Linked DNA regions of Notamacropus eugenii. The protein of the gene in region 1 purifies or fractionates together with the protein of each later gene. This does not show direct contact. Links are inferred from orthologs where the notes say so. Each region holds a gene or a part of one and is shown in the gene's direction. Other genes may lie near its edges. The genes, in order: CTNNB1, RELA, HDAC7 and GSK3A.

The links.
Region 2: the proteins of CTNNB1 (region 1) and RELA purify together in Homo sapiens (co-immunoprecipitation; 3 studies listed by BioGRID and IntAct, with this or other methods). This does not show direct contact. The link is inferred for Notamacropus eugenii from reciprocal best matches to the Homo sapiens genes CTNNB1 and RELA.
Region 3: the proteins of CTNNB1 (region 1) and HDAC7 purify together in Homo sapiens (affinity purification with western blotting; 5 studies listed by BioGRID, with this or other methods). This does not show direct contact. The link is inferred for Notamacropus eugenii from reciprocal best matches to the Homo sapiens genes CTNNB1 and HDAC7.
Region 4: the proteins of CTNNB1 (region 1) and GSK3A purify together in Homo sapiens (affinity purification with mass spectrometry; 3 studies listed by BioGRID and IntAct, with this or other methods). This does not show direct contact. The link is inferred for Notamacropus eugenii from reciprocal best matches to the Homo sapiens genes CTNNB1 and GSK3A.

What each region holds. Positions count from the first base shown.
Region 1 is NC_092874.1:44,339,039-44,345,995, forward strand, and holds the start of CTNNB1 (catenin beta-1), read left to right. Parts: upstream 1-3,951; 5' UTR 3,952-4,066; intron 4,067-5,716; exon of another isoform or gene 5,717-6,163; intron 6,164-6,957. UniProt on the Homo sapiens protein: Key downstream component of the canonical Wnt signaling pathway.
Region 2 is NC_092873.1:18,442,433-18,449,729, reverse strand, and holds the start of RELA (transcription factor p65), read left to right. Parts: upstream 1-4,287; 5' UTR 4,288-4,432; coding exon 4,433-4,439; intron 4,440-4,598; coding exon 4,599-4,625; intron 4,626-4,733; coding exon 4,734-4,885; intron 4,886-6,287; coding exon 6,288-6,436; intron 6,437-6,652; coding exon 6,653-6,744; intron 6,745-7,297. UniProt on the Homo sapiens protein: NF-kappa-B is a pleiotropic transcription factor present in almost all cell types and is the endpoint of a series of signal transduction events that are initiated by a vast array of stimuli related to many biological processes such as inflammation, immunity, differentiation, cell growth, tumorigenesis and apoptosis.
Region 3 is NC_092874.1:219,421,710-219,429,418, reverse strand, and holds the start of HDAC7 (histone deacetylase 7), read left to right. Parts: upstream 1-4,695; 5' UTR 4,696-4,894; coding exon 4,895-4,913; intron 4,914-7,709. UniProt on the Homo sapiens protein: Responsible for the deacetylation of lysine residues on the N-terminal part of the core histones (H2A, H2B, H3 and H4).
Region 4 is NC_092876.1:26,014,931-26,022,780, reverse strand, and holds the start of GSK3A (glycogen synthase kinase-3 alpha), read left to right. Parts: upstream 1-4,839; 5' UTR 4,840-4,964; coding exon 4,965-5,352; intron 5,353-5,622; coding exon 5,623-5,700; intron 5,701-5,905; coding exon 5,906-6,093; intron 6,094-7,549; coding exon 7,550-7,633; intron 7,634-7,736; coding exon 7,737-7,847; intron 7,848-7,850. UniProt on the Homo sapiens protein: Constitutively active protein kinase that acts as a negative regulator in the hormonal control of glucose homeostasis, Wnt signaling and regulation of transcription factors and microtubules, by phosphorylating and inactivating glycogen synthase (GYS1 or GYS2), CTNNB1/beta-catenin, APC and AXIN1.

The sequences.
Region 1 (6,957 bases):
TTCTAAGGGATGGGATGATATTTATCTGGCACTTTACAGATACTCAAAAATCCTCACCATTTTGTGTTTTATATATCTTAGGCGATGTATCCATTGCTCATCCTCTACTGTCAGTGGTGGTCATAAATATTTACTCGTTGGGTCTGACTAGGACTGTTGTTTCACTTTGCTGAAGAACTAGGGGCATGAAGCAATGAAATGTGCTGTGTTTTCTTTGTATGGTTATAGAACTGCCATTGCTGTTGCCGCCATTACTGCCATCCCAGTTACCATCACCACCACTAGGATTCTTTCTCCCTACGGTGAAGACCAAACACAAGTTTTCACTGTAACTCCTCATTGAATTTGTCCAGTGGATTCTTAGATTACTCCTGTGTATGAGTGTAGTCAACAGTCTAGTTTGATAAAGGGTATTTACAACTACTTAGTCTGCTCAGCTGGAAATAAATCAAAAGATTAAACTGAGCCCTGAGATGATGTATTGCAAATCAAAACTCATGATCCATACGTAGCCCAGTTGGTGATATGTTCAACGAAAAGCTTATCCTGATGGTTGCTTAATGTTTTCAGTTTTGCCATAAAGCAAGGACAAGGGCAGTTTCAACAAGGAAACTTGGCCTTCTATTCCATGCAGGCTCAAGTGTTTATTGGCAAAGCCAGGATATGGTCTTACTTTTGCATTGAATCTTAGTATTCTTAGCCTTCTTCATTTAGACATTAGGGTTGGAGTGCTGCCCATAGGTAAGGACCTGGGGAAGACAGGCGAGAAGGAGGTCACGCCTTGGTTGCTGGTGTTATTGATTTCTGACTTGATAATTCTTTCCTCTGTAAGTCTGACTAAATACTGGAAATATGCACTGACTTAAGGTATACAATGTAAAGAATTAGATGTCTTTTTAAAATATAGATAGATAGATAGATAGATAGATAGATAGATAGATAGATAGATAGGATGTTTATTTCTATGAGATTTAACTGTCCAGGCTCAAAACGGGTCTTTTGCTCATAATGTTGGCTGAATTAATGTTTATTTCTTTTATTTACAAAACATTCTGGTTATTCATTTGCCTACTGGTGATTAAAAGACACATGTTTTAGAAACAGAAAGCTTTACACTCATGTTCCACTATAACTACTGCTTGATAAGCCAATAATCAGATATTACGATGACTAATGCCTCCATGGTGAAATCAGCTGGAGACATTTTTGGTTTCTATAAACACACCCTGAAATTCAGAACTTAACGGCTGCTGAAGATTCACAAATTGAATTAATTTATGTCAAATACAAGGGACTGACTCTAGAACAGAAAAGTGAGTAAAAAATGAGAGTCATGTGTATTTCTGAAACAAATGTGCATAGTCAATAACAATAACATTTTAGTATCACTTATTTGACTGACTAATCTTATATTTTGATCCCTGATATTCTCCCTACCATGATAACAATATCTATCTTCATTCCACACGCTATTCATCTCATATTTTCAAGGAAATAATTGGAACTGCTACTGTCAAATTCAACTAACTTGTTTTACTGTGATCATGAACAATGGTTCTTTCATAATTGGAGTTTGATTGAGACAAATAATCACTTACTGTGTCACTGCAATGTTTCTGATTTATATTAAAAATCAGTGTTTATTTAGGCTCAAGAATTGAAAACCATATTTCTGCAGTTGGACTAAAATACTCAACTTGCAGAAGCAGACCATCCATTTGTGCACCTCTTTGGAGAACAAAGTGTAAGTGTGTGGGTTTTTTAGCTTTTAAATGGCAATAAAAGGAAAGAAAGCCATTTCTTTCAATGTAATAGCTTGCTGCATTTAAAAAATGATAAACATGTGAATGGCATCATTTCTTTTAAAAATCATTTGGTATTTATTCAGTAGTTTTAAAAAATTAAATCATAATTAAGCAAATTAATCATAATGTGTATATTTAGCCTGGGATTTAGGATCAAAGATTTGAGAACAGGATGTTTGATTTGTCTTAAATTGTCAGGAACTTTGCTACTTTAAAAAATTTTAAAGGAGTAGCTATATTTTATATTTTGCTCCACTGGAATTATGACCAATTAAGTTTACCTTAATCTATGATTTATGCTTATCTGTTCTTTAGCATCTGTGATATTATGAGAAGAATCTATAGAACTCCCTGCAAAGTCACACAGACAAACAGGGAGAATATTGTTCTAAGCAAGGGATTTAAGTCATTATCTGAATATCATCTTTGTAGTTAGGCTTTCTCCATTGCAGAAACATACATATATTTGTCTGAATGGTATTTGACATAAAAAAAAGAGAATGTGGCAAAATTGTCTTTAGTGCAGTCACAAAACAGATTTATTTAAAGAACAAATCAGCTCTGAAAGACTGTGAAACTACAAAAACTATACCATGAATTCATCCCGGGAAAGTGAATAACTAGATTTCCAGAGTAATACCTATACGCAAAGGCCCATTCTTTGTGAATGCATTAATTACAGCTATTCTATATAGCCACTAAGATAACCTTTGTTGCTTGTCTCTGTGTTAAATGAGGAAAAAAGCTCAAGACAAAAGAAAAGTCATTCTATCATATGATCAAGCTTTGACAAATACATTGTTAGATTACTAATGCATCTCCATTTTTTTTCCTTGAAAATGCCCCTAATTTCAGCCTGTCAGAACAAATTAGAGAAGATAGGTCTTTTGGAGGGTGTGTGTATGTGAGGGGATTAGTAGATTTTGTTTGAAAATAAGTAGAGATTGCATATTAGGCGGGGATATTTGTAAACTACATACTTGAACTTCTTAGACAAAAGGCACTACAAAAATTCACACACACACACACACATACACACCCCTAAACCCACAAATAAAGCCATAGACATGACAACACATTTCTCAGCACAGTTGAACTAAAGTAAAAAATGGAATTTTGTGAATGATTTTTAGGAAAGCAAATGTAATTCAAAGATTATTTTAAGTTAATCCATAATCCTAAATTATACTTCGATAGTTGCTATCAGTAAAGACATAGTGAACTAGGACTTCTTGATTATTTAAATAATAACTCATGTCTCTAAAGTAGGAATGGAAAATGGTTATTATTTTGAAGGTGTGCCTCACCAAATTATACATATCTGCAGAAAAAGAATACTTGTCTTATCCAATCTGTGTTCCAGAGGCTGAAAGATGAAGTACTTTTCCCTCATTCTTATAGATAACTGGTAGTCTGTGGGAACAGAATATTGTATTGTATTCTGTATTACAGGTCAGACATGATGCCCTATGGGTTTGTTGAACTTGGATTTGACTTAAAAGTTGTTTTTTTTCTTTTTGGTTAAAATGGAGGGTTCTTGGGGGGGTATTGGAAAAATAACAGTGGGATAGAAAATATCAATAAACCGTTACAAAAAGAACATCTTATAAAATCAGCTTCAGGATGAAGGGGCCTCCGCAGGATTTTCCCAAGATAGTCTTTTTTTTTTTGTCAGGGAACATTACATAGGCACAATTATATCATTTATATGTAATATATAATTATTACATGTGTGGATATTTTTACACATATATGTAATAATTAGATTAAATTGTGTTTGAGTAATCACTTGGTAAATTAGATCAGTATGGGCTTCTCAAGTGGCGCAATTTTTTTTTAAAGAAATTCTTTGGGAGTTATCTATCTTGGCAGTCTACACCGATACATTTCCCTAAAGGCGAAAGTTATCTTTTGCATTGTGCTGTGGAGAAACACCCTAAATCACACCTGAAGGACCCAAATCGAGAAACCAGTTGCCCTTGAACAAGTGTTAGCCAGACCTTGAGAGGCTGGTGCCCACCTGGCTCGGCCAAGCGGGGAGGGGGCGTGAGGCCCCAGCCCTTCTTTGTCCGGATATGCAGCTCTCGCCTTCCCAGTCCCACGGGAGGGAAGGAGGAACCCAACTTCCCTCCAAGCACCTTCCGCGTTCCAGCGCCTCCCAGGGCAGGTAGAAGCCGCCTTCCTCCCCTCTGCCTGGCCTGCTGCGGAGGCTGGCTGGGGTATGTGCGCACTGGTGGCAGAACGCCGGCTGAGGACGCAGGGTACGAATTCAGCCTAGACGCTCCTTTTGTCGGCCTCCTTGGAGTCCGGAGCGCTGCCCTCGGACGCTCCTTCCCCTCGTCCACCGAATTAGGATTCACTAGAAGGGGAAGCGGGGGGAGCAAAGCCTGCCCGGCGGCCGCGGAGCCTGCAAACCCCGGGAGAAGGCAAGAGGGGCGTCGGGGGTCGGGTTCTCCGTCTAACCTGGCTCCCTCGGCCCAAAGCGAGCAGAAGTAGCCGGGGGAGGGCATGGGGCATGTACCCCCACCCCGGCCAAGCCTGGCATCCTTGGCACAGCGAGAGCTGAAGCAGCAGGGCGCGGGCCGGAGCCTGGAGACAGCCCTCGCGCCCCGCAAGTCTCTCTGCTCACTCCCAGATACCCAAACATTTTTTCCATCAAGCAGTCTGGCGGGTGGGGCGGGGTGGTGGAAAGTGCACTTTGGGGAGGTCACATCTTGTTCGGCCAAGAAAAAGAGGGTCGCCTGTGGGACTCGCAAGAGAGATGGAGCAGGGGCGCAGGGAAAAGTGAAGGATGCTAAGCAGTTGTCTACGGAGAAATGTCTGATTGGATGAAAAGAAAGAAAGAGAGAAAGAAAGAAAGAGAGAGAGAAGAGAAAGAAGAGAGAAAGAGAAAGAAAAGACTTGAGAGACGGAGAAAGAAAAGAAAGCTTAAAAGGAGAGGAAGATAGGAAGGAAGTTGAAAAGGAAAGGAAGACTTAGGAAGAGAAAGAAAAAAGCTTTAAAAGAGAGGAAAAGGAATGAAGGAGGGTAGAAAGTTTAAAGGAAAGGGAGACTGGAATAAAGGACGAAAGGAAGGAAAAGCTTCAAAGGAGAGGATGAGAGGAATAAAGGGGGGAAGGCAGGAAAAGAAGAGGGTCGTGGCCCCCGAGGCATCCCCGAAAGCGCAGGAGGGCTGGAGGGGGTCGCTGGCACCCCCGCCTCCGGGCCTCCCCTGCGCTCCGGCGGCTCAACTTCCCAGAGCATCTGAGGGGGCCTGGCGCTAGCGGGGACCCCCATTAGCGCCCCCGTCCGTGGAGCCCTCCTCCTCCCGCTCCCCCGGCTTTCCCCCTCGCGCCCCCGGGCTCCTCGGGATGGGGCGCGGGGAGTGCAGCGCGCGCTAGGCTCCGGCGCCGGGCGCGCCCCTGGGCCCCGGGGTTAAAGTAGTATTTTCCCCACCCCAGAACCCCGGGGGCGCGGAGTGCCCCGCGGACCCCGCGCGGCCCGAGCCTCCCGCTCCCATTGGGTGGAAGGCCCGAGGATGGCGGGTGCGTTTATTTCTTCTTAAAGTTAGACCTTGCAGGGAAAAGGGGACGGGCCGGGGCCAGGAAGGCCCGACAGTGTGGAGGGGGGCAGCTGGGGAGGGATTGGGTTTCCATTGTGTGCCGGGGTCCGCGCGGGTTGGGGGGGTAGAGAAGGAGAAGGCGAGTGTGCATGGGAGGGGGGGCCGCAGTCACGCCACCGCTGCCCCTTTAAGGCCGCCCTCCCCCTGCTGCCCCTCCCCCTCCTCCCAAGAACTAGTCTCGGGCTCCCACCTCGGGAAGAGGAGGCTCCGGGCCTCATCACACCCCCGCCCCTTCCCCAGATCACTGCACCCCCACGCTGTGGCTACGCTTGGCGGGGCCGCGGCCTCCGCCCGCCCCTCCCGCCGCCGCTCGGGGCCCGGGGGTGTGGGCAGCGCCGAGGCGGCAGTCCCCGGCCCCCGCGGGCGTCCTCTCGGCCGCCTCCCGGCTGGCTCTGCCGCGGCAGGGCGTGGGGACTATTTTCCCCGTCTTCCATCCCGCCCCTCCCCCTCCTTCGCTCCCTCCCCCGCGCGGTGGAACGCTCCGCGCGGCGCCGGCGGCTGCTGCGGCCTCGGCGGCAGGATACACGGGGTCCTGCGCGCCGTATAAGAGCTCCGTGTGCGGCGCCATTTTAAGCCTCTCGGCCCGTGGCAGGAGGAGGATCCCGTGGAAGGGAGCCGGCGGAGGCGGAAGGCGGAGGGCGCTGGCGCTGAGGCGGCTCTGGGCGACGTCGAGCGAGCGGAGCGGAGCGCGGCGGGGCAGCAGCCGGAGTGCGGAGGCGAAGGGACCCCGGCGGCGGGCGGCGGCCGTTCCCCTGAGGTGCTTGTGCGCTCGCTCTCCGGGGCGAAACTTCCTCGGAGGCGCGAGCCCCGAGTGGGAGGGAGGGACGGGCGGCGGGGCGGGGTGGCGTGGCTGGCGGGCCCGGCCCGACCCGGCTCGGTTCGGCCCGGCCCGGCTCGGAAGGCTGCGGCGGGCCCGGCCCCGGCCCGGCGAGGGGCGCATGGATGGGGCTGCCCGCCTCCGGGAAGGGGGGTCGAGGGGCCGCGGCCCGCCGGGAGGGAGCCCCGGGGCCGGGTCGGGGGCGGGCAGCCTCCCCTCGGTGGTGGACCAGGCGCGCTACGGGGAGGGGGAGGGGGCAGGGACCTCTGGAAGAGAGGGAGGGGTATCCTGGGCGGCAGGGGCTTCTGGAGGAGATGGGGGGCGCGCTCTGCGGGGGGCAGAGTCCCGATGTTCCTGAGAAGTGGGAGCGTCGGGGATCGTGCGGGGGCTTTCTTACTTTGGGGTGGGGGTGCCGCCTCTGGATCCAGCCTCAGCTTTTGCAGAGCTCGGCGGGGAACGTGGAGGTTCCGCTCCCCCAGAAGGGTTCGTAGTTCTGAGAACCGTGGACTTTGCGGGCCAGTTTGAGGGGTTCCTATTTGCTAGCAATCCGTGGGGAAGGGGGAAAGTCTGGTCCTCTTGGTCAGGGCTGGGATGTGAGAAGTGATTTTTCGCTTCAGATCTGTGTTTTCTTTACGGAACCGAGAGAAAGGTTTCATATGTGTATATACATATACGTACATGTTTTTTATTTTAAAAAGAATAATATTGTGTTTGTGGCATTTCACTACTATGTG
Region 2 (7,297 bases), on another chromosome or scaffold:
CTCTATGTCATGTCCTGGCAGAACCTAACCAATTCGCTAGCACATCTCAACGCGTGGCATAGTCTCTTAGGATTCTAAGTTGGAGTTTCTACTCCTAACGAACACAGAATTTTCCTGTCCTCAAGCTGGCCCAAACTAGTCAAGGATGTGAAGTCCTTAGAGAAGCATTTCTCATCCCTTCCCATGAAGAAGTCTGAGGTTATAAACGTTTTCTTATCAGGTTCTGAAGATGATCCTGGAGCTGGTCAAGGCTTTAGATGTGATGACATTGGCCTGGTCATCAAGTGATCTAAAGACATGGCCAAAGCAGTCCATGGTGCTATCAATCCTGGCCAAGCTGGCCTGGCCTCCTCAATCCTGCGAGTCACAGCTACTGGGAGAAAAAATTTGTAAACTTTATCTAGTGCCCTGCAAAGGCCTTGAGCATTGTGGGTCTGTCCTACTAATCTCTGCCCTCTGGTGTTGTGTCAGCTGCTATTTCTAACAAGCCTTAATCAGCCAGGACTGATGACTGATAAATTCTGCTAAGGGCTACAGTCACTCTGGACGTAGCTGCTGTCTCTAAAACCTACAATTACTTGACCCCTGAGACCTAAGAAAAGAAACTGTGTTCACTCTCCCCTATCAGGAATTCATCACCCTTGTAAAGACACTAGAATGTTTGTCTAGATAGCCTAGGCAGCTGCTATGGCATAGATGGCGTAGATGGCTACCACAAATGTTTTGATAGGACATCAGTAAGTAAATAAACATTTATGTGCCAGGCACTGATTGTGGCTAAGCACTGGGGATACAAAAAAGAGATGAAAGACAGTTCCTGATCTCAAGGAGCTCACAATTTAATATGGAAGATAACGTGCAAACACATACAAACAAGCTCTATACACAACTGCAGAAGGAAGGCACCAGAATTAAGGGGGGAGAAGGCTTCTGGTAAAAGGTGGGATTTTAGTTGGCACCTAAAAGAAGCCAGAAAACAGAGAGAGAGAACGTTCCAAGCATGGGAGGCAGCTAGAAGGAGTGACTGGATCCAAGAGATGGGGTACCGCTCTGGGAACCAATGTCACTGCAGAGAAGAGTACACATTGGGGAGTAAGGTGTAAGAAGGCTGGAAAGGGCTATGAAGGACTTTGAATACCAAATACAGCATTTTTGTTGGGGCAGCTAGGTGGTGCAGTGGATAGAACAGCAGTGCAGGAGTCAGGAGGACCTGAGTTCAAATCTCACCTCAGACACTTGACACTCACTAGCTGTGTGACCTTGGGCAAGTCCCTTAACCCCAATTGCCTCATCCTGGGTCATCTCCAATCATCCTGATGAATATCTGGTTATTGGATTCAGATGGCTCTGGAGGAAAAGTGAGGCTGGTGACCTGCACAGCCCTCCTTCATTCAAAACAAAGTCAAGTGCAAGTCATGTCATCATTTCTCTGATGGTATGGTCTTCTTTGGCAACGAAGGACCAACACACACACAGCATTTTGTATTTGATCCTCCTGGCAACAGAGAGCTACTGGAGTTTACTGAGTAGGGAGTGACATGGTGAGACTAGGTTTTAGGAAAATCCCTTTAGCAGTTGGAGTGGAGTGGAAAAAGATTAGAGGCAGGCAGACACCCTCTGCACCTCTCTGAGCAGCCATTGCAATAGTCCAGGTGTGAGGTGATGAGAGTCTGCCCCAGGAAGGTGGTGGCATCAGAGTGAAAAGGGTGTATTGGAGAGAGATTACAAAGGTAAAATTGGCATCATATTGGATATGGGTTGTGTGTGTGAAAAAGAATGAGGAATCCATGACTGGGGCTGGGAGCATGTTTTTGCCCTCTGCACTAACAAGGAAGGTGGTCACTGTGGTTGCTTGTCCTTCCCTCTCCAAGAGGACCATGGCATAGGGAAGGTGGGGTGGGGAGAGGAGGATGAGTTTAGTTTGGGCATATGTTGATTTAAAACCCTGTGGGATACCTAAGGTTGGAGCACGGGATATGGAGGAGGATCTCACAACAGAGACAGAGAACAAGTTGTCAAAGAAGTAGGAGGAGAAAGGGGTGGGGGTCCCAAGAACCTAGAGGTAAGAGAGGACCAAGGAGGAGAGAGTGATTATGGCTCCAGAGAGGTCAAGGAGAATGAGTGTGGAGCAGAGGCCACTGGATGTGGCCACTAAGGAGATAATTAGTAACTTAAGGGAGAAGTTTTTGTGGAATGATAAAGGCAAAAGCTGGATCGACTGTAAGGGGGTTGAGAGAGGAGGGAGGTAACTAGTGTAGATGGCCTTTCCCAGGAGAGTCAGTGGGGGCATCTGGTGTAGACAGGTTTTCCCAGGGGAGTCAGTGGAGGCGCCTAGTGTAGACAGCCTTTCCCAGGAGAGTCAGTGGGGGCATCTGGTGTAGACAGGTTTTCCCAGGGGAGTCAGTGGAGGTGCCTAGTGTAGACGGCCTTTCCCAGGGGAGACAGTGGAGGCGCCTGGTGTAGACGGCCTTTCCCAGGAGAGTCAGTGGGGGCATCTGGTGTAGACAGCCTTTCCCAGGGGAGTCAGTGGAGGCGCCTAGTGTAGACAGCCTTTCCCAGGGGAGTCAGTGGAGGCACCTAGTGTAGACGGCCTTTCCCAGGGGAGACAGTGGAGGCGCCTAGTGTAGACGGCCTTTCCCAGGAGAGTCAGTGGGGGCATCTAGTGTAGACAGCCTTTCCCAGGGGAGACAGTGGAGGCGCCTAGTGTAGACGGCCTTTCCCAGGAGAGTCAGTGGGAGCATCTAGTGTAGACAGCCTTTCCCAGGGGAGACAGTGGAGGCGCCTAGTGTAGACGGCCTTTCCCAGGAGAGTCAGTGGGGGCATCTGGTGTAGACAGCCTTTCCCAGGGGAGTCAGTGGAGGCGCCTAGTGTAGATGGCCTTTCCCAGGAGAGTCAGTGGGGGCATCTGGTGTAGACAGCCTGTCCCAGGGGAGTCAGTGGAGGCGCCTAGTGTAGATGGCCTTTCCCAGGAGAGTCAGTGGGGGCATCTAGTGTAGACAGCCTGTCCCAGGGGAGTCAGTGGAGGCGCCTAGTGTAGATGGCCTTTCCCAGGAGAGTCAGTGGGGGCATCTAGTGTAGACAGCCTGTCCCAGGGGAGTCAGTGGAGGCGCCTAGTGTAGACGGCCTTTCCCAGGAGAGTCAGTGGGGGCATCTAGTGTAGACAGGTTTTCCCAGGGGAGTCAGTGGAGGCGCCTAGTGTAGACGGCCTTTCCCAGGAGAGTCAGTGGGGGCATCTGGTGTAGACAGCCTTTCCCAGGGGAGACAGTGGAGGCGCCTAGTGTAGACGGCCTTTCCCAGGAGAGTCAGTGGTGGCATCTGGTGTAGACAGCCTTTCCCAGGGGAGACAGTGGAGGCGCCTAGTGTAGACGGCCTTTCCCAGGAGAGTCAGTGGTGGCATCTGGTGTAGACAGCCTTTCCCAGGGGAGTCAGTGGAGGCGCCTAGTGTAGACGGCCTTTCCCAGGAGAGTCAGTGGGGGCATCTGGTGTAGACAGGTTTTCCCAGGGGAGTCAGTGGAGGCGCCTAGTGTAGATGGCCTTTCCCAGGAGAGTCAGTGGGGGCATCTGGTGTAGACAGCCTTTCCCAGGGGAGACAGTGGAGGCGCCTAGTGTAGACGGCCTTTTCCAGGAGAGTCAGTGGTGGCATCTGGTGTAGACAGCCTTTCCCTGGGCTTTAGCCACAAAGGGCATTAGAGAAACAGGACAGTAGCTAGAAGCGAGCTGGCCAAGGTCTGATCGGAGAGGCGGGTGCCAGGCCTACACTGGCGGACGAGGGAGGGAGTTTCCTCATTGGCGCTCGGACATCGGACTCTCTCGCCGGCACTAGGGAGGGGCCTCGACCCTCTGCTCTGCTCGCGCCCCCCAAGGCGCCTCCCCCTCGTTCCACAGTACACAGTAGGTGCTTCATAAACTCGGGCTTCCCCTACACTCCGGCTCCGCCCACCCCTCCTCTCGCCCCTCCCGGAGCGTCCTGGGACCACGTGCTTCTGGAAGACGCGTGACGCAAGCACGCAGCGGCGTCTCACGCTCCGCCAATCAGGGCAGCTCCCTGTCCGCCCCGCCCACCCCGCCTTGGGTGGTGGCCAGGTCCTCGGCCGGAACGTTTGGGAAAGGCGATTTGGGGAGCTGAACGGAGACGCCAAACGGAGCGCGGAGGGGCCGGTCTGGGTCCGACGCCTCCCTGCCCTCGGGCCTAGCCCTGCTCGGCGGCCACCTCCCCGCACCTGCGCACTCGGGCCGCCCCGCCCCGCTAGCGGGAGCGCGCAGGGCGCGCGCGGCCCGGGAGGCCCTGGTGCGCAGGCGCGGCCCCGCATTCCGAGCAGTGACGCCGCGAGCGCGCGCGGCGCATTTCCGCCTCTGGCGAATGGCTCGGGCGTAGGGCGCGCGCCGCGGGGGCTCCAGCTGCGACCCCGGCCCCGCCCCCAGGACCCTGGCCATGGAGGGTGAGCCTGACCTCTGACCGGGGGAGGGGGAGGGCCGGGTGGGGCCCGGGCGGGCCGGCCGGAGGTCCGTGCGGCCGCCCCCCTGCCGGGGCGGGGCGTGGGGGGGAGGCGGAGGGCGGCGCCTGACTCGATTTCCCTCGCGCCCCCTCCCCTTTTCAGACCTGTTACCCATGATCTTCGCTTCCGGTAAGTGGGGGCGGGGCGGGGGGGGCCGGGAGGGGCGGGGGGAGGCCCGGGGTCCGGCGGCTGGGGGTCCTGAGCCCGCGGTGTGCGCGCCCCCCTCCGCCCCCCCAGATTCGCCCCCGGCCCGGGGCCCCTTCGTGGAGATCATCGAGCAGCCCAAGCAGCGGGGGATGCGCTTCCGCTACAAGTGCGAGGGCCGCTCGGCGGGCAGCATCCCCGGGGAGCGCAGCACGGACACCACCAAGACGCACCCCACCATCAAGGTGAGCCCCGGGGGCCGGGGGGCCGGGGGTGCTCAGAGCCCCCCACTGCAGGGGCTCGGGGCTCGGGGGCGTGCTCAGAGCCCCCCACTGCAGGGGGCTCGGGGCTCGGGGGTGTGCTCAGAGCCCCCCACTGCAGGGGGCTCGGGGCTCGGGGGTGTGCTCAGAGCCCCCCACTGCAGGGGCTCGGGGCTCGGGGGTGTGCTCAGAGCCCCCCACTGCAGGGGCTCGGGGCTCGGGGGTGTGCTCAGAGCCCCCCACTGCAGGGGCCGGGGGTGCTCAGAGCCCCCCACTGCAGGGGCTCGGGGCTCGGGGGTGTGCTCAGAGCCCCCCACTGCAGGGGGCTCGGGGCTCGGGGGCAGACCCCCCCCACTGCAGGGGGCTCGGGGCTCGGGGGTGTGCTCAGAGCCCCCCACTGCCAGGGGCTCGGGGGTGTGCTCAGAGCCCCCCACTGCAGGGGGCTCCAGGCTCGGGAGTGTGCTCAGAGCCCCCCACTGCAGGGGGCTCCAGGCTCGGGAGTGTGCTCAGAGCCCCCCACTGCAGGGGGCTCGGGGGTGTGCTCAGATCCCCCCACTGCAGGGGCTCGGGGCTCGGGGGGTGCTCAGAGCCCCCCACTGCAGGGGCTCGGGGCTCGGGGGGGTGCTCAGAGCCCCCCACTGCAGGGGGCTCCGGGCTCGGGGGTGTGCTCAGAACCCCCCACTGCAGGGGGCTCGGGGCTCAGGGGTGTGCTCAGAGCCCCCCACTGCAGGGGGCTCGGGGCTCGGGGGTGTGCTCAGAGCCCCCCACTGCAGGGGGCTCGGGGCTTGGGGGCAGACCCCCCCCACTGCAGGGGGCTCGGGGCTCGGGGGTGTGCTCAGATCCCCCCACTGCAGGGGGCTCCGGGCTCGGGGGGTGCTCAGAGCCCCCCACTGCAGGGGCTCGGGGCTGGGGGGGTGCTCAGAGCCCCCCACTGCAGGGGGCTCCGGGCTCGGGGGTGTGCTCAGAACCCCCCACTGCAGGGGGCTCGGGGCTCAGGGGTGTGCTCAGAGCCCCCCACTGCAGGGGGCTCGGGGCTCGGGGGCAGACCCCCCCCACTGCAGGGGGCTCGGGGCTCGGGGGTGTGCTCAGATCCCCCCACTGCAGGGGGCTCGGGGCTCGGGGGTGTGCTCAGAGCCCCCCACTGCAGGGGGCTCAGGGCTAGGGGATGTGCTCAGAGCCCCCCACTGCAGGGGGCTCGGGGCTCAGGGGTGTGCTCAGAACCCCCCACTGCAGGGGTGCCGGGACTGGGAGTGAGCACACCCTCCGCCTCCAGCAGAGGGCAGGAGGTGGCAGGCTCCCAGAGGGACAGAGGCCCTTTGATGGGTTTGGGACCCCTCACTGATCTTCTCCGAAGGTGGGAGTGGCTCAGCCTCCATTCCTTTCCCAGGTCATTGGCTACACAGGACCAGGAACTGTGCGAATCTCCCTGGTGACCAAGGAGCCCCCTCACCGACCTCACCCTCATGAGTTGGTGGGGAAGGATTGTCGAGATGGCTTCTATGAGGCTGAACTCTGCCCTGACCACTGCATCCATAGGTGAGGAGGCTCAGCAGGTGCGAGGGAGTCAGGGCAGGGCGAGGGCAGGGGTTCTCCTACGTGGGGAGGGGGAACCAGAAGGACCCCACAAGGTAGGGAGGACAGAGCAGTAGAAATGAGGCACCGAGCTTCGGGTGGGGCAGAGGATCAGAGAGGATGGCCAAGGGCTGGACTGGGCCTGGGGTGCCAGGCAGGCTGACAGGTGTGAGGTGTTAGCTTCCAGAACCTGGGGATTCAGTGTGTGAAGAAGCGAGATCTGGAGCAGGCCATTGCCCATCGAATGCAGACCAACAACAACCCCTTCAATGGTGAGAGGCTCCTAGGCCAGCATGACCAGGGCCCCCAGCAGCCCCACCCCACCCTGCCCATGCCTCCCTGCCTCACTCCCTGGCTTCTCCCTCTTGCTGGCCAGCTCTACACCAGTGCTTCAGGATCCTTTTCAAATGCTTTTTGTGCTGCTGCTTGTTTCGATGTCACTGTCATTTCCCTTTCTTCCTTCCTTTGTGTCCGCATCCCCCCACTCCTCTGTTGCTGGCCCCTCATTAGTTGCTCAGTTACTGTGGCCTTGGCTTGCTTCAGGCGATCTCTTGTTTTCTTGGCTTTGCTTGTTTCATTCTGCATCTGTTCACACAAATCTTCCCATTTTTCTCTGAATTTTTTTGTTTATTTCTTACTGTATAGTAATGTGTCATTTTTTTAACCCATATCTAATTGATGAGCCTCTACTCTGTGAAAGCTATAGAGCTGCTATGAATATTTTGGTTTTTGCACGACCTGTTGCCATTTCTATCTTTAGCTTTTTTGTGGAGTTTCAGTAATTAGATCATTGAGTCAAAGGCCACAGGCCATTAATCCCTTTTC
Region 3 (7,709 bases), about 180 Mb from region 1:
ATGTGGCAAAGGAATAATATAGCCCCTTCCAGGTGTTTGAAAGTCCTTTTGTCCCCATTTTGGAATGTTCAAAAAGTTCCCCTTAGTCATGGTGTGGCTTCCTTGCTGGGCCCCTCGTAGAGCTATAAATCTGTGTCCAGTCTGTCTATTAACCTATCTAGGAAACAGACAGGAAGTCCCAAATCCTTCAGACTCTGAAGTTCACAAAGTCCTCCAGGGTCACACATCTAGCAAGTAAGTGTCTGAGGCAGGATATGAACTTAGTTTCCCTGACTCCAGGTCCTAAGCTCCATCCACTGTACCGCCTGATTGCCTCCCTTCCTGGATATGAGGTCCCCTACATGCTGTGTTTCCCCACATTGCACTCTTTTTCCAAATGCATTGACCAGTTTGGGGTAGCAGAGGAAGAGGTGGTTGAATGTGTACGTGGTGTGGGGGGGGGGAGGTGTGAGGGGCCACAGAGCTACTGGCCACCCCTCTCCTGACCCCAGGGAATGGGGAATTCCCAAACCTCTTCTAAACTCAAACCTCCCGAAGCACTCCCTCCTCCCAACCTCTCGGCTGAGGATCTTACCTCATACTCATCCAGTTAAAACAGTCATTCACCATCAGCATCCTTTTCTCTTCTACTTACATTACAATCCCTTATCCTAATACCCAACTGGCTCTCCTTTTACTTGATTGCTTCCCACGATCACCCCCACCCTCTCACTAATCTTTTTTGTTGTTCAGTTTCTTCAGTTGTGTCTGACTCTTTGTGACCCCCATTTAGGGTTTTCTTGGCAAAGTTACTGGAATGGTTTGCCATTTCCTTCTCTAGCTGATTTTACAGAGGAACTGAGGCAAACAAGGTTTAAGTGACTTACCCAGGGTCAAACAATTAGTGAATGTCAGAAGTGGGATTTGAATTCAAGTCTTCCTGTCTCCAGGCCCAGCACTCTATGTACTTCATCATTTACCTCCCGAAGTCCCATATACATCTCCAAATCAACGTCCAAAATGGAACTCATTATTTTTCTCCACCAACCCATTCATATTCTGAACTCTCAAATTACCATTAAGTGAAGCACTATCCTTCCAGTAACCCAGGTACAAATCCTAAGTGTCACCTTTAACTCTTTACTCTCACTTACTTGACATATCCAATCTCTTGACAAATTTCCCAAATATGCCCCCTTTAATCACTAGCTACCACCTTATTTCAGGTTTTCATCACCTCTTCACTTTTAATTGTCCTCCCTGACTCAAGCCTTTACATAATCAACTAAAGTGATTTTCCTAAAATTTAGATCTGATCTTGCCATCACCATATTTAATAAACCCCAGAGGTTCCTTATTACTTCTAGGATCAAATATCAACTGCTCTGTGTGATTTTCAAAGCTCTTTACAATCTAGTTGCATCTTCCTTTTGCAGCATTCTTAAACATTACTTCTCTGGAGACACTCTTTAGTCTGGCCATACCAGCTTATTTGCCATTCCTCACACACAACACTCCATCCCTCTCTCACACTTACCTGGAATGCACTTATTCTTGTTTCTTTCAGGTCTCAGCTCAAGCGCCTTCTATATAAGACCTTCCCAACTCGCCCCAGCTGCTAGGAGCTAGGCAAGCTGCCTTCCCTTCCAAAGTTACTTTGTATCTGATATGCTTTGTATGTGCTTGGCATATACCCATGTGTGTTTTGCAGATGGTGATATGAGTATATGTTGTTTCCCCTGTTAAGCTGTAAACTCCTTTGAGGCATTTTACTTTTTGTCTTTGTATCTCCAGCGTCTTTAGCATATTAGACCCTCGATAAACATTTACGAGATTGACTGATCCTCCAACCAATAACTTAAAGTTCCTTCAACACTCTGGTCACCCTTCTTTAGAGATGATCCAGTTTTGTCTGGCTCATTGTAGGAGCTTAATAAATGCTTGTTGAACCGTCTTGATGCAGACCTAGATTTGTCTATAGTATCCCAGAAATAGTCTAAGCAGGATAATGATAACAATTCACATACCCTTCTCCAAACAGCCAGTACATCTTATTATTATTCATCTAAGTTCTTACAGCTGGGCCTAGGGGGCTAGGCTACTGTATCCATTCCCTTCACCACTAAGGGGCATTTCTCAGGTTTGTGTCTATGCATACTCTTGGCACAGTCCTAGCAAAGCCTGGGCTCCAATGAGAGAAATTAGCCTTTTTTTCTCACTATTTGGCTCATTATACCTTACACACATGTGCATGTGCGCACACACACACACACAAAACTTTGAACCCTGAAATGGATTTGCTTAAAGCTTAGGTTTTGGCTCATGTCTAGCTATGGTGTCCTCAAAGGAGGGAGAGTAGAAATATACTCAATGTGTAATATGAATTAGAGGTACATGGAATCATCCAATCCCAGACATATCCATCTCAAGATCAACATTCAGAAAGGAAACACTAAGTGCAAAGAGCATCCAAGAGCCCTGAGTCAAGCTTGTCTCATTTAGACCCCCTTTTCTAGCTGATATATAGAAGCAGTCATCGTGAGGCTAGGGTAGGGGAAGAGCTCCAGCCCCTCCCCCATCCTGCTAGCAAGAGGTTCCTCATATGCTCATCAGGAGGAAGGGAAGTGAGGCCAAGAGCAGAGTCATTCCCTTTTCAAAGGTCTTCTGAATCATTGGTTCTTCCTACTTAGTGGCCAGTGAAGGGATTGCTTCTTTCTCTCAAAGTGGGAACCCTTCTGCACTGAGTCCTACATAGTAGGAAGCAGCCTTTGTCATTCCCGAAGCACCCAAGTGCTGAACTAGCATTCGTGATCAGTCAGCGTAAGGAAGGGCAGTTTTGTCTATACCATGTTCAGCCCTATCTAACATTCCCATTTGTCAGGTGAGGAAACTGGGGTTGTGATTTGCTTATAGTCACAGAGCTAATAATATCTAGTGGGATTTGAATCTGGGTCTCCTGACAGCAAGTCCATAGGTCTTTCCACTATATCACACAGCTCCATTTGGGCACTTTTCATGTAGTCTTAAATATGAATTAGTTGTTTTGGCCACCTCACCACACTGCTGACTCACTGTGCATACAGTCCACTAAAACCCCCAGGTCCTAGGCAGGCTAAGAGGGAGGATTCTGTTGCAGTCATCCAATGTGCAAAGTGATGAGGCCTTGGCCCTAGGCTATGGCTATGGCAACAAGAGGAAGAATTGTGTGTGGGGGAGGAGGGTACCCTCTCTGCAGTGAAGAGGTTCCCAGTATTACGATCCTATGCTAAACTCAAACTTGTCTCTCTTAGGACTAGTCAGGTTTCTGCCTATAATGTGGGCATCCCAAAGAACTATGGCCATAGCACAGACCTTTCTTTTGGGCCTCAGTTTCCCTTTCAGTTGTGCAGACTCATGAGGATGGTGTAGCTTCCTAATCCTGATAAGAGTTTCAGGGACACTCCCTGCTTTCAAGTTTAAGGCCCCGAACACACAGGAGAGGCCAAAATTGCTTCAGAGAGTGGCTGACACACCCTATCCCAGAAGTGGCTGTATTTCTAGCTAAACTGGGGACCCAGCCAATGGCCAACAGAGAATAGCAGGGAGGTCCTTAGCTCCTGATCCCTGACCCCTGACTCTGACCTCCACTTCCAGTTTGGAGAGGGGGTTAGGAGTTTCTGTGAACAGGCTATCCCTGCCCTAGATTTATTAGGGGAGGGAGGACTAGAGGCAGCTGCATTCCGACTCACAGATGGGAACATTTCTGCAATCCGCTGTAATGCACTGGGAGACACTGGGCACATTGCTGAAGTTTGACTCATAGGGACAGGGAGGGTGGAGGGGGGAACTGGAATTGGAGGGGGAGGAATGAGAAGAGAGGGAAGAGAAAGAGGGAAGGAAATCCCTTGGGAAATTCCTTTTTAAAAAAAAAAAAACAACCCAAAACTTTCAAAATAAACATTGTTGTGACCCCCTTTTCTTTTCTAGGATCAGGCAATTCCCTTCTGTTCTCTTTACAGGAAGATCGGAAGGCGGTGGGGGTGAGTTCGTTAGGCAGTGATTCAAATCAGATCTTGAAACTTTTCTCCTGCAAAGTTCTGTTTGTAGCTGGAATTCCAAGCGTGGGACTCTGCTTGTAAATTACCGTGTGTCTGTGTTCGGGTGTGTATGTCTGAATGTATCTATATGTATCTTTTTCTTCCTTTCTCTGCAGGTGTCTATCTATTTCTGCGTATTGCAGTATGGGTGTGTGTGTTATGTATGTGAACAGGAGTCTGGGCGTTTCTGGACGCATCTGAGTGCCTCTTTTCAGGGGCTGCTTTCTTTTTGTGCGTGTCACTGTGTTCCTGTGTGCATCCGTGCGGGTCTGGGCCTCCGAATTTTGTGCCTTCTTCTCGGTCAGCTGTCTCCGGGTGTCATGCCTTCTCCGCTGTGTAAGGATCGTCAGTTTCTGCGAGTCTCTGTGCTGTGTATGTCTGTTTCGTGCCTCGGTGTGGCGCCTGTGTCTGGGCTGTGTGTGGACCCGCGCAGCTCTGGGCTGTGTGGTGCTGGGCTGCGCTGGGCTGGGCTGCGCCGGGCTGGGCTGGGCTGCGCTGGGCTTCTCGGGGCTGGGCTGGCTGTGTGCACCCTCCCCTCTCCTCCCCTCGCCTCTCCTCCCTTCTCTTCTCTTCTCCTCCCCTCCCCTCCCCTCCCTCCCCTCCCCTCCCCCTTGGCCCGCTCTCAGACTCAGATAAAGCATTTCCTTCCATTGTCATCCTACCCGGACGGCCCCGCTGCCAGGGCCCTCCCCCTCCCGGCCCCCTCCCTTCCTCTCCCGGTCTCGCCGACTCTCTGCAGCCTCTGGTGCCTCGGGGGATGTAAGGCCGGCGCCCCCGACCCCCCGCGCCCGCCCTGATTCCCACCATGAGCCCCCCGCTCTGAGGGCCCCAGCCCCTGGATGCACAGACCCGGTGCTGGTGAGTACATCGCCCGCCCCGGCCCCGGCCCCAGGTCTCCGCCTCCTCCTCCCTGCCCTGCGTTGGCACGGTCCCGGCCCCCCACCGCACCCCGAGCCCGTGGGCCCCCCAGTGCAGCTGGGCGCAAAGCTGGCGCTGCGCTTTCGTCCCTCTCCTCCACGGTTGGGGCCCTTGGATCGTCTGGGCCCCACGGGGAGGGGGGGGGAGTAGCTCCAGGTCGTGGCCGGTTCCAGGGCCGTGGGGCTCCCGCATTGGCCCGCCCTGGGGGTAGCGGCGGATCAGAGGAAGGAGGCCCGCGGGCTGCTTTCCCTGCGCCCTGCTGCCCCGACTCCCATATCCCCCACTCCTGAGCCTGGAGAAGGAGTGCCAGGCCCGTCCAGGGAGCTGTGTAGGGGGCCGGGCGATGCACCCGTGCTGGCCATTTGTCTTGTGCTGCCTTCCTGAGTCAGATATCGCCTCCCCCCAGGCCATTGGCCCTGGGACCGGGGCACACACCCCCTGCAGTGTGGGGTACAGCCGCAGACTTTTAGAGGGACCTTTAAGAGCATCTAGTTGAACCCTCCTCCTTTTACAGAGGAGGAAGCTGAAAGCCGGAGGAATTAGGGCATGAGAGAGCTTTCTTGAAGACCCTTCCTCTTCCCTAAGCCCTCCCCCCTCCCATCTTACTCAGTAGTGTTTAGAGACCTGTGTTTGAAAGTGCGAAGTGAAGGCACCCCCTGATAGGTTCTGGGGCAAAGCAGGTGGAGAATAACAAATTGTATTTGGGGGATGGGGGAGTGGGGGGGGCGCGACTACTCTCTGGTGCTGGAGCGGTACACAGACAGCTGCATTTCCTTCCAGAACACAGTGTTTTCAGACCGGGAAGCCTTCTGCAAAGGGAAAGGGAGAGTTTCCTCGGGCCTAACTCAGCTGAGCTGCTCATATTTTTTTTTCCTCGAGTCCCATTTATCATATGATCCCCTGCACAACCAAAATTCATGTCGTCTGCCCTTCTCTGTTGTCCATCCTTCTTGTCTCTCCTTTTCCCCTCTCCATTAAGAAACTCCCCATCCTAGTCCTCCATTCTATGTCTGCCTGAGACTTTTTGATGCTGTGGCTTTTCTTTTAATTTATATGACAGGAGAGAGGTGTTCTGGGAATTCAGCTTCCTTAGGGAGTCATCTTTAAGCCCTAAATCTGCCCCTAGTATAAACCTAGGAGCCTTCTTAGGTTTTTCCCAAGTTGGGGAGCCAGAGATCACAAGGCCTCTCTTCTTGTAATCTTCCCTCAGGGCTCCCAATAGCCTGAGCTCCTTTATCATCCAGGATTCTCTTGAGGGACTCTCATTCCTGACCACTTAGTACCTTCTCTGCTCAGCCCTGAAGCTGTAATCTTCTTGGCCCTGTCTTGGAATTCTGGTCCCCATGCTCTTCACCTTGTCCCTTGTCTTGTCTGCCATTCTGTTATGTAAAACAATTTGCCACCACCCCCTTCAAAGCCTCTCCGGTGACTAGAGCCCTGGGACATCATCTCCTTCTGACCAAGGAAGGCACAGAACAAAACTGAACTCATGGGACGTCATCCAGTGAGGCCACAGTAGGAATTCAGGGATTTTGAGCTAACAGGGATTCTCTCACTGCCCTTTAGCCCCAGATAGAAGCTCTGTCACCATCAGAGTTGTCCCACAGTATCATTCCCAGGACCAGCCTCCTCAGTATGGTATTTTACTGACTAGATGTCAAAGATTATCTATGAATGTGAACGAACCCATCATTGGTTTGTGTGCTCGTATCTTCAGGGTTGAACCTGTATCATATTTTTGTCAGTTAAGCACCTACTATGTGTCAGACATTGTATTAAGTCTAAGGATACAAAGAGCTTACTGTGTGTGTGTGTGTGTGTGTGTGTGTGTAGGTGGGGAGGGTCAGGTAGGGGAAATGGCACCATGTCTTGTACACAGTAGGCACACAAAATTTTGTTGTTTACAGCAACCAAGCCTTGAAGGGGGATGCCCAGGATGGTGAGGAAGACTTTTTTCCAATTCTGCCATCTTAGTTCTCCTAAGCAACTATCCCTTAACATCAAGGCTTAATTTTCTCATCAATGAAACAGGGAGAAAAATTGGGCTTATTGTTTGCTGCAGATGAGGCTAGAATTAGCCATGCTAATCTCACCTCCAGTGTCTAGTTTGGTGCCATTATGGGCATTCTGTAACTGTATTTTGTTCTTGACTTGGACCTTAGGGAAGCCAGGTCTGGGGAATCTTACTTGCCAACCCAGGAAGTGGGAAGCTCATGCTAGGAGAGCAGGAGTTGGGAGAAGTAAGGATCTTCTTGGTGCAGCCACAGTGAAGGCCCAGGAGCATTCCTAGAGACATTCCTGGGAAGAGGCACATGCAGCTCTAATCTAGAAGAATGGAAGTGAAGCTAGCCCAGGGTTAACTCACCCCACAATAACAGAATCATGGAATTTTTGAGCTAGAAAAAAGCACCTTAGCAATCATCTAGTAGTTAACCTCCTCACTTGACAGATGAGGAAATTGAGACTCAAGGAAATGAAGTGACTTGCTTAGCCTTATACCATTAGCAGAGCTAGAGCTAAAACTTCCTGACTCCCGTGCCAGGGACCCATCTCTTATACCACACTGCTTAGGGCCTTCTCATCCCTAACCTAGTCCTTCTGTGTCCATATTCCCTTCTCTTCCCTGGCTTCCCCAAGGCTCAGAACCTTATCAGCCTGTTCTGTACCCTTTCTGCTTACCCTCTCCACAACCTCAGCTTGGCCTCAGTCGTATTCTAGACTGGAGGTTGGGGAGGG
Region 4 (7,850 bases), on another chromosome or scaffold:
TGATTCTGTGTGACCCTGGACCCGAAATGAGGGTAGTGATACTTGCATCATTGATTCAAAGAATAAAGCACTTTGTCTTTAAAAAAGTGTTAGGAAGGAGTTTGTTGGAAGGGACCAAGAGATCTGCTTGCTAGAGGAAAGTACTGGTGAGGAAACTACCCCTCGCTACACAAGTCAGCACAGGCTTTGTAATTTTTGAGCTCTGTGAATTGTCTGGGGCTGGCTTAAGGGACATGCCCAGAGTTACCCAGCCCACCTATGGAAGATCACATCTTTTATAACTGAATCTACTTTTACCACACTGCCAGGGACCTGGATTTGAGCTTGTTTCTATTAATTTCTTACCTCTGTACCTGTGGTCAAATCTCTCCCACTCTCTGGGCCTCAGTTTCCTCATCTGTAAATATGGGCATATTTGCATGATTGGGGCAGCTAGGTGGTGCAGTGGATAGAGCACCAGTGCAAGAGTCAGGAGGACCTGAGTTCAAATCTCACTTCAGACACTTGACACTCACTAGCTGTGTGATCTTGGGCAAGTCACAACCCCAATTGCCTCATCCTGGGTCATCTCCAGTCATCCTGATGAATATCTGGTCACTGGATTCAGATATCTGGAGGAGAAATGAAGCTGGTGACCTGCTCAGCCCTCCCTCACTCAAAACAAAGTGAAGTGCAAGTCAGGTCATCATTTTTCTGATGGCATGGTCTTCTTCGGCAACGAAGAACAAACACACATGTCATCTAAACCAGTGACGAGTCAAGAGAGTGGTTTGCAACTGGGGGGTACCCCCAATTTTCTAGCTGTGTATGCTGTGGTGAGTCATCTCTGCCTTCTCAACTGGCTTTTGACTTTTGAGACTTGGAGCAGCTCTTGGCACATAGTTGGTGCTTAAAAGAAACTTAATAAACTGGCAGCCCCCTTTTAACTACATTCTGTGACACACTTATTAGGTAGGAGAGGATGGGAAAAATAGGTACAAATGGGGAAATCGTGTCAGAGAAGGGAAGGATGGCTAACACCAAAGTAGGAAGAGCATGAGAGCTGGCTGATAAGGAAACTGAGGCATGAGAGGGCGGACTGGGCCACTGCAGTCTCCTGGGTGATGTAAGTCACTCCCTGGGGTGGGGGCCGCTGGGGGTGGAGGCGCCAGGCTATTTCAGGAAGTTGTCACCAGGCAACGCAGATGCTGCTGGGAGGGTGGTGGTAGTGGGGGGGGGGGGGGCCGGAGGAAAGGATGTCGTCACCTTCAGGAGGGGGCTGGGACCCTGCAGGGTGGAGACTTTGGTTTCCACAAATTCTCAGTCCCCACTGAAGAGTGGACTTGCTCATTGGTCCTGATCCCAGCCCCAAGGGATCCCCTCAGCCTGTCCCTGAGACGGTGGGAGATGGAGGGTGAGGTGGCCCCTTTACAATTTTAGCCTTCTCCTCTGACCCTAGAGAAACCGGCTCCCTTCATCCTTTCATTGAGTTCTCCACCCTCTTCAATGAGTACAATATCCTGGTAATTAAGCCTTTCCACCCTCTTCATTGGTCCCCAAGCCCATACTCATCCTGCCCCCAGCCCCCATCTCCTATCCATCTCCAAGGAACGGACCCTTCATCTTCCCTGGTCCCTATCTCCACTTAGCACTCCTCTCCTCACTGCCTGCACCTCCAGCCCTTATGGAACCTCTTCTGGCTTCCCCATCTCCTCTCCTAGAACCAAGTATCCTTTTGAACGGAGTCGCTCTTCCGAGCCCTTTAAATACACCTTTGTCCTGTCTCCCTTGTCCGAGCACCCCCTCCTCACTGAGCCCCTAACCCTGGTCCAAGCACCCCCTCCTCACTGAGCCCTTAACCCTGGTCCAAGCACCCCGTCCGCACTGCGCACCCCCTCCTCACTGAGCCCCTAACCCTGGTCCAAGCACCCCGTCCGCACTGAGCACCCCCTCCTCACTGAGCCCCTAACCCTGGTCCAAGCACCCCGTCCTCACTGAGCCCCTAACCCTGGTCCAAGCACCCCGTCCTCACTGAGCACCCCCTCCTCACTGAGCCCCTAACCCTGGTCCAAGCACCCCGTCCGCACTGAGCACCCCCTCCTCACTGAGCCCCTAACCCTGGTCCAAGCACCCCGTCCGCACTGAGCACCCCCTCCTCACTGAGCCCCTAACCCTGGTCCAAGCACCCCGTCCGCACTGAGCACCCCCTCCTCACTGAACCCCTAACCCTGGTCCAAGCACCCCCTCCTCACTGAGCACCCCCTCCTCACTGAGCCCCTAACCCTCGTCCAAGCACCCCGTCCGCACTGAGCACCCCCTCCTCACTGAGCCCCTAACCCTGGTCCAAGCACCCCGTCCGCACTGAGCACCCCCTCCTCACTGAGCCCCTAACCCTGGTCCAAGCACCCCGTCCGCACTGAGCACCCCCTCCTCACTGAACCCCTAACCCTGGTCCAAGCACCCCCTCCTCACTGAGCACCCCCTCCTCACTGAGCCCCTAACCCTCGTCCAAGCACCCCGTCCGCACTGAGCACCCCCTCCTCACTGAGCCCCTAACCCTGGTCCAAGCACCCCGTCCGCACTGAGCCCCTAACCCTGGTCCAAGCACCCCGTCCGCACTGAGCACCCCGTCCGCACTGAGCACCCCCTCCTCACTGAGCCCCTAACCCTGGTCCAAGCACCCCGTCCGCACTGAGCACCTCCTCCTCACTGAGCACCCCCTCCTCACTGAACCCCTAACCCTGGTCCAAGCACCCCCTCCTCACTGAGCACCCCCTCCTCACTGAGCCCCTAACCCTCGTCCAAGCACCCCGTCCGCACTGAGCACCCCCTCCTCACTGAGCCCCTAACCCTGGTCCAAGCACCCCGTCCGCACTGAGCCCCTAACCCTGGTCCAAGCACCCCGTCCGCACTGAGCCCCTAACCCTGGTCCAAGCACCCCGTCCGCACTGAGCCCCTAACCCTGGTCCAAGCACCCCGTCCTCACTGAGCACCCCCTCCTCACTGAGCCCCTAACCCTGGTCCAAGCACCCCGTCCGCACTGAGCACCCCGTCCGCACTGAGCACCCCCTCCTCACTGAGCCCCTAACCCTGGTCCAAGCACCCCGTCCGCACTGAGCACCCCCTCCTCACTGAACCCCTAACCCTGGTCCAAGCACCCCGTCCGCACTGAGCACCCTCTCCTCACTGAGCCCCTAACCCTGGTCCAAGCACCCCGTCCGCACTGAGCACCCCCTCCTCACTGAGCCCCTTTCCCCTTTAAAGGATCTGCCCCCGCCCCTGCCCTGCTAAGAACTGTAGCAGAATGCTCACGCAGCGGCCCCGCCCCCTCCCGGACAACCTTGGGTAACGGCAACTCACAGTGGGCCTCTCCCCGCTCCCGTCCCGCCCCTAGAGGGGCGGAGCCTTCAGAAGGAGCCGCGTGGCCCACTTCGGAACATGCGCATACTTTTTTCTGGTTGACGTCCGACAGGGGGCAGTGCAGCTTGCCCAGGCTGGGAACTACAACTCCCAGCAGCACAAATTTCAGCTTTGGACTTTGATTTTTTACGTCCGCTACCAACAGTCTCGCTGGAAAATTACAGATTTCTTCAATGCCCCTGCTATCCATTAGGAACGCCACCTCCATAAGCGTGGAGACCTACAAATCCCAGAACATCTGGCTCCGAACTGAGCTCTCTGGATGCTTACTCGACCCTAGCCTACTGTCCGCTCAGGGAGAACTACAAATACCAGAAACCTGTAGGACGAGGTGGGCGTCGGGTCAGGCTGGCACCCACGTGAGGACTCCAATAGCCAGAATTCACTGGGGTTAGGAAGTGCTGAAAGTTTCTAGCTTTTCCGGAGACTCAGGTAAAGGTATACTACAGAACTTCATTTCCTCTCAGCATCGAGAGTGAGTGTTGGTGTACGTGCATCCGTATGCATGAGAGGAAGAATGAGAAGAGTCAACTTCCCAGTATTCCATGGGTGCGCGGGGAGGAATGAAAACGAAGCACGGGGGAGGAAAACGGGGACTGCATTTCCCAGCATTCCTTAGGGGTGGGGGAGGAGCTGAAGACTAGAGCGTTCCTTTTCTCGGCGGTCGTTGCGCGAGGGCGTTGGTTCCCAGCTCTTATCGGTTAAAGGAAGACTCCACTTCCCAGAATGCTTTGTTATTCGCTGACCCCTCCCCCCTACGAGGGTGGGTCCATGACGTATACTCGAGCGCCTTCATCATACAACCTGCAATGACTCCACTGCTTCCCCTTTCTTTGCAACTAATTACCAAAGAAGAGAGGAGGCGGGGAGCGATGTAGATGTCCTTTCTCTTCGCGGCCGGCATCTCCTCACTTTTTTTCTCAGGGTCTTCTTTGGGCCCGTAATTTGACAGGAGGAGGGGGTGGAGGTGATCTCGAACTCCATCTCCCACGATCCTCTGTGGCTTTAGGTGCCTAAATGTTGCAATGAATTATATTTCCGCGACTTCGCCGTCGCGGTCCGTGACGTAAGACAAGACAGTTGGGAGTTTCTGGGAGGGGACTACTTGTCCCGGCATTCCTTGGGGCTCCCAAAGCTCTTCAGGGAGCCGAACTCTTTAGGCGTCTTCAGCGCCCTCGGCTCACCCAGCACATCGAGAGGGCGCATGTACGCTGTTTCCCAGGATTTCCTAGGCTTCTCTGTTGGGCCAGCTCCCCGAGAGCGCGTGGAGACTGCATCTCCCGACATCCTTCAGGGCCCGATCTTCGGAGCCCATGACGTTGCTTCTGTGGTGGAGCGAGGACTCCATTTCCCAGTGCGCTCCGCGGGGTCAGGCCGGCGGTGTGAGCGTGCGCGAACTGCATTTCCCGGCGAGCCCCGCGGCGCGGAGCCGGAGCCGGAGCCGCAGCCGCAGCCGGAGCCGGAGCCGGAGGCCGGAGCGGCCGCGGCCTGGAGCGGAGCCGGACCCCAGCCCAGCCCGGCCCGGCCGGGGCCCCGGGGAGCAGCGCGGCGGCGTCTGAGGCGCCATGAGCGGCGGAGCCCCGGGGGGCGGCGGCGGCGGCGGCAGTAGTGACAGCATCTCGGGCCGGGCCCGGACCAGCTCGTTCGGAGAGCCAGGGCCGGCGGGACCCGGGCCGGGGCCGGGCGGAAGCGGATCAGGCCCCGGACCCACCGTCGGACCCACCGTCTCCAAGGCCGGCGGTCCGGACCCGGGCCGGGGTCCGGCCCCGCCAGCCTCGGGTGCGGGCCCCGGCCCGGGTCCTGCCCCCGGCCCCATTCCTCCCGGTCCCGGCCCCGGCGGCTCGGGTACCGGCGGCGGTGCGGGGGCCGTGAACGTGGCCTTGCCTTCGGGCCCCGGAGGCGGCGGAGGCGGCGGAGGTTCGAGCTTCCCACCACCCGCCGTGAAGCTGGGCCGTGAGTAGGGGCGGGGGCTTCCCCTGCCCTCCTTCTTCCCCACAGCCCCCTCCCGCGCTCGGGGCCACCCCGTACTTGGCCCGGGGTCCCGGGGTCGCGACCCCCCGGCACACCCTGCCCCTCTGCAGGGCTTGGGGAGGGGCGGGCGGGCAGCCACCGGCCAAGGAACCCCAGCCCTGGGGAGGCACCGGGCCGGGGTGCCCCACTTTCCATAACGGAGAGTGGTCCTGGGGGTCACGGAGTCCTCTTCTTCCCCCTAATCCCCCGCAGGTACCACTAAGGGGGCTGAAGCTGTAGAGGTCAAAAGTCACCAGCCAGAAGTCTTGTCTCAGCCTTTCCCCCCCAACAGTAAGGTGGCCCTAGGGACTGGAGGTTAAAGGTCAGGGGCCCTTCCTCTTTCCCGGACTGAGGAGGGATGCTGAGATCAGCTCCTCATCTCCCCCTTACACAGACCCCAGGAAGGGCAGAGGGACTGGACCCAGAGGCTGAATGTGACCTCCCCTACCCCTTCTCCAGCCCCCCAGCAGGGAGTCCCCACATTTCTCTTCTCCAGGTGACACTGGGAAAGTGACCACGGTGATGGCGACCTTGGGGCAGGGGCCCGAGCGCTCCCAGGAAGTGGCCTACACGGACATCAAGGTGATCGGCAACGGCTCCTTCGGTGTCGTCTATCAGGCCCGCCTGGCCGAGACTGGGGAGCTGGTGGCCATCAAGAAGGTGCTGCAGGACAAGAGATTCAAGGTACTGAGTGCTGCAGTGCGCATGTCTGGACCCACACCCTAGAGATCAGGGAGGGCACCGGGCAGATCTGAGAGCCCCAACACAGTCAGGCCAAGGACTGGTGTGCTGTGGGCTTGGACTTAGTGACAACAAAGGGAGGTGGGCTAGGGCTAGGCTGGGATTCTCTTGGGCACCCCGCTCAAATCCTACTCCCCACTGAGAGAGACCAGAATGCAGAGGAAAGTGTTTGGAGGCTGGAGCCTGGTGAGGACAGGGGACTGTGTCTAGAGGAGCAGGAGATCCAGGCTCCAGGAGCACCCAGGCTGGGGGCGGGGCTCTGGGCTGCCAAGGGGTGGGGTTGGGAGGGCAGGACCTGCAGAGGTGGTGAACTGAAGGTCGAGGTCCTCCAAAGGAGGGCTGGCTTCTGCCTAACATGTTCTAGGGGATCCAAGAGGTCAGGCCTGAGGAGAAGGAGGGAAAGAGGGACAAGAGACAGGGGTGGGGGTTGGTGAGAGGAGACGAGGGCAGGATCAGGGTTCTAGAGCAGCTAGGGAGCCCAGGAAAGAGATGGAGAACTGGAGAGGAAGGCGGGACTCCTCTGACCCTTGACTGGTACAAGAGAGAGCTGAGACCTGGGAGGCGTTGAATCAGGGTTTGGAAAGGGGACCAGAAGAGAAGGGAGAGCAGGTTTTTGGATTGGCTCAGAGGGGCCGACCCCAGGGCAGCTCTGGTGTCAGGGGTCATGAGTGGCCAGATCCAAGCAGGGATGAGGCTGGGATCTGGGCCCCAGGGGGAGAGGCAGTCCAGAGGCAAGACTCAATTCTGGGGCCCAGGAAGGGCATGGTACCACCCCAGAAAGGAAAGGGAGAAGGGGTGGGGACGCGGTTGGCCTGAGCTCCCGTTGGGAGAACAAGGGCTTTGGTGCTTGAGAAGGAGGAGACTGGAAAGAGTGGGGAATTGGGAAGAGACAGTTTGACCTAGTGGAAAGAGAGGTGAATCTGACCTGAGAAGACCCAGATTCAAGTGCTGTTTGGGCCTCTGTGTGTGTGTGGCTTTGGATGAGTCACTTGTCTTTGGGCCTCAGGGAGGGAGCTGGGCTGGCTGCCTTTAGCTCTGGGTCACAGGCCTATAACCTCTAAGATTCTTTCCCTTGCTAAACCCTGTAATTTCTGGTATTTGGGGAGGGGGGAAGTGGGCATCAGAGGAGAGGCTTCATGGAATATGGGGGTCCTGTGGTGGGCCTGAGAGGGAAGGAGGGAGATGGGAGCTGAGCCAGGTATAAGTTGGGGCCCAGAAGGGAGCAGGAGCTCTGGTGTCTCAGGGACAGGGGAGGAAAGGTCTGAGGCAAGGTCCCAGGGAGGAAATGCAGGTTGGGCAAGAGTGGGCCAAGACCACAAAAGAAGACAAGTCTGGGAGGGGGAAGACAGGGGCTCCACTGCCCCCTGCCCCCAGGCTCAGCTCTGCCTTCTTTCCCCAGAATCGGGAGCTGCAGATCATGAGGAAGCTGGACCATTGCAACATTGTACGGCTTCGCTATTTCTTTTACTCCAGTGGAGAAAAGGTGAGTGAGGCCTAGAGGCCAAGCAGCTCCTCCCTTCTGGCACCTCTGGCTCTGGGGAGCGCCCGGGCCCCCTCCTCACCCTCTTTCTCTTTCCTCATGGCAGAAGGACGAGCTTTACCTGAATCTGGTGCTGGATTTTGTGCCTGAGACCGTTTACCGGGTGGCACGGCACTTCACCAAGGCCAAGCTGACCATCCCATCCATCTATGTCAAGGTG